Linked DNA regions of Macaca mulatta. The protein of the gene in region 2 interacts with the protein of the main gene of each other region in a pairwise test. Links are inferred from orthologs where the notes say so. Each region holds a gene or a part of one and is shown on either strand. Other genes may lie near its edges.

Region 1 (3,655 bases), on a different chromosome or scaffold from region 2:
GCAGTACAACGAGTTGTATTTATTTATTTTGAGACAGGGTCTCACTCTGTCACCCTGGTTGGAGTGCAGTGATGTGATCTGGGCGCACTGCCAACCTCTACTTCCCAGGCTTAAGCAATTGTCCCACCTCAGCCTCCCAAGTAGCTGAGACCACAGGCACGCGCCACCACGCCGGCTAATTTTTTTTTTTTTTTTTTTTTAAATTTCTGGTAGAGGTGGGGTTTTGCTGTGTTGCCCAGGGAGGTCTTGAACTCCTGAGCTCAGGGGATCTACCTGCCTTTGCCTCCCAAAGTGCTGGGATTACAGGCTTGAGCCACTGCGTCCTACAGGTGATTCTGATGCAAAATCAATTTTGAGAACCACTGCTGTATTTAGTGTGATGAGGAACTAAACTCCATTATGGTAGACTCTGAAGGGGCACCTAAATTAATAATGTTAGAATCTAATGTATTTGTTGCCTTTCTTTTTTTTTTTTTTTTTTTTTTGAGACGGAGTCTGGCTCTGTCGCCCAGGCTGGAGTGCAGTGGCCAGATCTCAGCTCACTGCAAGCTCCGCCTCCCAAGTCTACGCCATTCTCCTGCCTCAGCCTCCCGAGTAGTTGGGACTACAGGCACCCGCCACCTCGCCCGGCTAGTTTTTTGTATTTTTTTTTTAGTAGAGACGGGGTTTCACCGTGTTAGCCAGGCTGGTCTCGATCTCCTGACCTCGTGATCCGCCTGTCTCAGCCTCCCAAAGTGCTGGGATTACAGGCTTGAGCCACTGCGCCCGGCGCCTTTCTTTAAAAATTATTATTATTATTATTGTCCGGGCACAGTGGCTCATGCCTGTAATCCCAGCACTTTGGGAGGCCGAGGTGGGTGGATCACCTGAGGTCAGGAGACCATCCTGACCAACATGGTGAAACCCCGTCTCTACTAAAAACACAAAAATTAGCCAGGTATAGTGGCATGCGCCTTCGTCCCAGCTACTCAGGAGGCTGAGGCAGGAGAACTGCTTGAACCCAGTAAGGTGGATGATGCAGTGAGCCCAGACTGCGCCACTGCACTCCAGCCTGGTGACAGAGTGACACTCCAGCCTGGAGACAGAGTGAAATTCTGTCTCATAAAATAAAAATAAAAAAAAAGGCCAGAGGCAGTAGATCATGTCTGTAATCCCAGCACTTTGGGAGGCTGAGGCGGGTGGATCACAAGGTCAGGAGATCGAGACCATCCTGGCTAACATGGTGAAACCCCGCCTCTACTAAAAATACAAAAAATTAGCCAGGCATGGTGGCGGGCACCTGTAGTCCCAACTACCCTGGGAGGCTGTGGCAGCAGAATGGCGGGAACCCGGGAGGCGGAGCTATCGGGCCACCGCACTCCAGCCTGGGCGACAGAGCGAGACTGTGTCTCAAAGAAAAAAAAAAGAAGGAAGGGTATAACATTTAATTTTCTTTTTTTTTTTTTTTTGAGACGGAGTCTGGCTCTGTTGCCCAGGCTGGAGTGCAGTGGCCGGATCTCAGCTCACTGCAAGCCCCGCCTCCCGGGTTCACGCCATTCTCCTGCCTCAGCCTCCCGAGTAGCTGGGACTACAGGCGCCCGCCACCTCGCCCGGCTAATTTTTTTTGTATTTTTTTAGTAGAGATGGGGTTTCACCGTGTTAGCCAGGATGGTCTCGATCTCCTGAACTCGTGATCCGCCCGTCTCGGCCTCCCAAAGTGCTGAGATTACAGGCTTGAACATTTAATTTTCACAGGATAATGGCAAATGAGGAAATTTCTCACTTTCCACATGATATATATTTGAAAACATGTATGGGTATTTTTGCCTTTCAAGGAAAAAGTATAAAAAAACCTCCACCCCCCTCCCCACCAAAATACATGAGCTTTAAAATGAATTTAAATTTAGACTTATACAATTATAATCAGAGTTTTGAAATAAAATATATTTATTAGGAAGTCAGCTTACATCATCAGTGTCTTTAACTCGAAGAATCTGTTCTCTCAGGTCTTGTAAATCGTTAAATGTGGACTGTGCTGTGATGGAATAAACTAATGCAAATCCTTGTCCATTTTTCATGTACAAATCCCTCATTGCTGTAAATTGTTCCTACAATAGAAAGAAAGGAACGTTAAAAAACAAGAATGTTTTGACAGTTATTTTTACAATTTCGAAGTCTATAATTATAGCTCAATGAAGAATATTGTAGTATTATGTAACTTTGTTAAAATTACAATCTATGACAAGATACTATTTGAAAAACTGGCATTTTAGTTCCTTTTTTTTGAGACAGAGTCTTGCTCTGTCACCAGGCTGGAGTGCAGTGCGCGATCTCAGCTCACTGTAACCTCTGCCTTCCGGGTTCAAGTGATTCCCCTGCCTCAGCCTCTAGAGTAGCTGGGACTATAGGCGGGTGCCACCATGCCCGGCTATTGTATTTTGGTAGAGATGGGGTTTCACTATGTTGGCCAGGATGGTCTCCATCTCCTGGCCTCGTGATCTGCCCATCTCGGCCTCCCAAAGTGCTAGGATTTACAGGCGTGAGCCATCACACCTGGCCAGAAATAGGTTTCTTATTTTAAAATCATACACCAAAGTAGATTTATATATAAAAAATATACTCAAGTGGAACAGAAATATCCCGTCCCCAAAAGTTACTAAAGGCAGCTTTTAAAAATACATCATAATGTGTAAGAGCACCTCAACTGTATCAGCCAAGTTAATCTATACAGCTATGACTCAAATGCTGTAGTTCTGTAGGGCTCCATTAGCATGATCTACACCATCCCATTTTCCCATACTACTTTTTCTTCGCTAGACTGAGAGCATTCGAAGGTAAGAACACAGTGACTGACATGTATCAGGTATTCAAACATTAGCTGAATGAATACCATACACCAACAACAAATTTTCCCTTCCTCTTCACATACCTACAAATCTAGTTTGTCTATAAATACCTGGAAGGAGAACAGATACCAATCAAAATATTTCTTTTTCTTTTGAGATGGAGACTCGCTCTGTCACCCAAGCTGGAGTGCAGTGGTGCGTTACCAGCTCACTGCAACCTCTACCTCCAAGGTTCAAGCAATTCTCCTGCCTCAGCCTCCTGAGTAGCTGGGACTACAGGTGCCTGCCACTGCATCTGGCTAATTTTTGTATTTTAATAGAGACGGGGTTTCACCATGTTGGCCAGGCTGGTCTTGGAACTCCTGACCTCAGGCGATCCACCCACTTTGGCCTCCCAAAGTGCTGGGATTACAAGGCATGAGTCATCGCACCCAGCCTCAATCAAAATATTTCACACAGCTGCTGAGGAATGAATGTATGCCTGTATTATTTGAAATATGGTAATATATTGTTTTAAAAGTACTAGTGAGACTGAAAATTTTCCTTCTAACACATTTTCTAAACTTTTAAATGACCCACTGCAATTACAAAAAGTGCAATATACTTTTTTTTGTTTTGTTTTTGAGACGGAGTCTTGCTTTGTTGCCCAGGCTGGACTGCAGTGGCACGATCTTGGCTTACTGCAACCTCCGCCTCCTGGGTTCAAGCTATTCTCCTGCCTCAGCCTCCCGAGTAACTGGGATTACAGGTGTGTACCACCACACTCGGCTAATTTTTTTATATTTTTAGTAGATATGGGGTTTCACTGTGTTGGCCAGGCTGGTCTCGAA
Region 2 (2,766 bases):
CAGGTGGCTCCACCTCACAGGATACACGATGGCTGGGTTAGGGGGCAAAAGACAGAGCTCAGGACATGACACCAATCCCCCACACCTGGCCAGAGCCCTAGAGTCCCAACCTCACCCGCCAGTCACCTCTGAGCCTCTGTCAGTGGCCGGAGCCCCTGTAGCCACCTCTGGATATCATGGTCAGGTTGGAGGTTATAGCCACGACATTCATTCTGGAGCCGTCGCAACTCAGAAAGGACTGCAAACTCCTGGGAAGGAGCCCTCAAACTGCAGGAGCCAAAACTCAGGGACACCTGACTTTCCCCCCTCCCCTTCCGGGAACATGGATTGAGAAGTCCAGCATCCAGCCCAGGCACTCCACTCACCTTCCTCCGCTTGTCAAAATTGATGTATCCATTCTGCGAGGAAAATGGGGATGGGGTGGAAGTTCTAACACTACCTTCCAGGCCACAGAGAGAGAATATCCCCTCTCTTAAACACACACAGCCACATCCAACTCACAATCACTTCCCTCTAGCCTCTCTGACTCTTCCATCCCTCCCTGCCTTCCCCCTCAATCTATCATGGCCTAAGCACTGCACTTGACCCTTGAAATTTAATATCTCAGGTAGACAACTAGTCTGCTTTGCAGATGAGAAGACTGGATAGTATCCAATTGGATAGGATTCCTCATCCAGAGAGGATAAGGAACTTGCCCAAGGTCTCAGTATTTGTTTATTTAACAAACTCTAGCAATAGAGCAGGACCCCATCACAAAACCTAGATGTGCTTACGTTTCAGGCATGTTCTAAGCGCTTGACAAATACAATTCATTTAACCCTTATAATAACAGATCAATGTAGATGCTATTTCTAGTTTCTCATTTACAGACCACTGAGGCGACTTGGCACAGAAATAGATCTGGCTTTGTCCTACACTCAGCTATTTGTGCCTTACAGCCCCTTGCAAGGGGGGGATCTGTCGGACCCTGCAGCCCACTTGTTACATCATCATAATGACACACACACACACACCACTGACCTCCAACTCATCCTTGGAGGCTGCATCCAGCATCACAAGGTCCTTCAGGAAGGTGCCAAGGTATGGGACTATACCCTGAGGTCAGGGGTCAGGGTCAGACGTGCCTGCCATTGATGTGAGGGCCCTCCGTCCCTCCGCACTTGCCCTCCCCATTGCCTCAGAGAACAGATTTCATTCTCCTCACCCCTCACCCCTCTGTGCCTCCCTTACCCATCCTTCAGGCTGCTCCCCTAAAACATACTCCTCACCCCTTCATAATCACAACCCCCAAGCCCACCACCCAGCTAGTCACTCACCCCACCCCGGGAGCCAGACCTCGGGGCCTTCTTGGAGTGTGGCTCCAGAGGAGACTGCAACTTTACCTCCTGGTGGTGACAAAATAAAGAGACATGGGGGAGCAGTAGGGAGCAGGGAGAGGGGGGAATGCCACAAACCAGGCTCTCACCTGCACGAGCAGCTCCCGACTCTGGGAATAATTATCCTCTTCGGAGAAAATCTGGCAGAGGCTAGAAAAGACTCTGAGGCTGTCCCTGGGGGAGGGAGAAAAGTGGCCCTGAGGACAGGCCTGGCTCTGTCACCCCCTCTTCCCTGCCTTCTGAGGAACCCCCACCCCAGTCCAATGCCTCAGCCTCCCCACCTGGTTGCTTCCCCCCAGGCTGCCCGAAGCCTGTGGATGGGGCTGGACTGCAGGGCTGACACCACAGCATAAACTGAAGAGAAGTTTCGGAGCAGCCGGCACTCCTGTGGGGGTCAAAGAGAGCTAAGGCTATGGGAGCCCTCTCCATGCCATGGCCACCCACCGTGGGGCAATCTTCTTTCTCACCTCCGCCACGCGGATCCACTTCTCCAGGAGGCGGGCCCTCTGGGGGGGACGGAGTGGCCGTATGGTCACCTCCCCAGGTCCCTCTCCGGTGGAGGTAGCCCCCAGGACAGAACTAACCACTGCCCCTGCCACCTTGTTGAACTGTGTGACAGTAGCTCGGACAGATGGGCAGAGGTGAGAATGTCCTGGCCGGTCTCTGTGACCCCACAGGCCTCCCAGGCACTGAGAGGGGATCAAATTGAGAAATAGCTCCTGCAGGGTAGAGGTAAGAGGTTAAAGTTCATAGTCAAGTGAGGTCAGCCTTCCAATATTAGGGATCTGAGGATCTCAGGTGGCCAAGGAACCAGAGGGGCACAGGGTTTGAAGGGTAACAACCAAAAGGAAAAAGGGAAAGTCAAAATGGTAGGTGAAGGAGGCTAGGAGCTGGATCAGGAAAGGGTGGAAGCAAGGAAAGGATCTGGAGTCAAGGAGAGGTTAGTAAGGGGTCAGGGGGCATACGGGCCAGAGGTCAGGGTCTCACCGCATCTAGCAGGGTCAGCTGTTCGGCCAAGTGGTCAGCGAGGAACACCAGGACATCCGTGGGGTCAGCAGGGGGATCGCCGGGGAGGGCCAGGGGCTTAGGAAGGTCGGGGGCCTGAGGGTCCACCCGGGACCGGAGGTTGCGGATGAGGTCAGCGCTGCCCCCCCCAACACCCTTCCCTGCTGCATACCCTGTCTGAAGTAAGAAGCTCTCAAGCCGGTCAAGCTGACCCTTGGCCTCAGAGCCAAAATCCTCAGGGTGAGAGGCCAGCCAGGTTGACAGCACAGAGATGGCTACCCTGGGAGAAGGGAATCAGCCAAGGGTGAGAGGTAAAGCTGCAGCCTGGGCAGAGTGGACTGTGAGATTAAGAAACAGGGGTCACTCACTCTGTTGTCCTCTCTAG

Evidence for each region.
Region 1: the proteins of RGL2 (region 2) and RAP1B interact in a two-hybrid assay, tested with the Homo sapiens proteins (2 studies listed by BioGRID and IntAct). The link is inferred for Macaca mulatta from reciprocal best matches to the Homo sapiens genes RGL2 and RAP1B.

What each region holds. Positions count from the first base shown.
Region 1 is NC_133416.1:75,773,521-75,777,175, reverse strand, and holds part of RAP1B (ras-related protein Rap-1b), read right to left. Parts: intron 2,088-3,655; coding exon 1,947-2,087; intron 1-1,946. UniProt on the Homo sapiens protein: GTP-binding protein that possesses intrinsic GTPase activity. Contributes to the polarizing activity of KRIT1 and CDH5 in the establishment and maintenance of correct endothelial cell polarity and vascular lumen.
Region 2 is NC_133409.1:148,994,044-148,996,809, reverse strand, and holds part of RGL2 (ral guanine nucleotide dissociation stimulator-like 2), read right to left. Parts: coding exon 2,750-2,766; intron 2,662-2,749; coding exon 2,364-2,661; intron 2,096-2,363; coding exon 1,844-2,095; intron 1,762-1,843; coding exon 1,658-1,761; intron 1,551-1,657; coding exon 1,466-1,550; intron 1,386-1,465; coding exon 1,317-1,385; intron 1,096-1,316; coding exon 1,021-1,095; intron 399-1,020; coding exon 366-398; coding exon of another isoform or gene 249-365; coding exon 127-248; intron 33-126; coding exon 1-32. UniProt on the Homo sapiens protein: Probable guanine nucleotide exchange factor. Putative effector of Ras and/or Rap. Associates with the GTP-bound form of Rap 1A and H-Ras in vitro.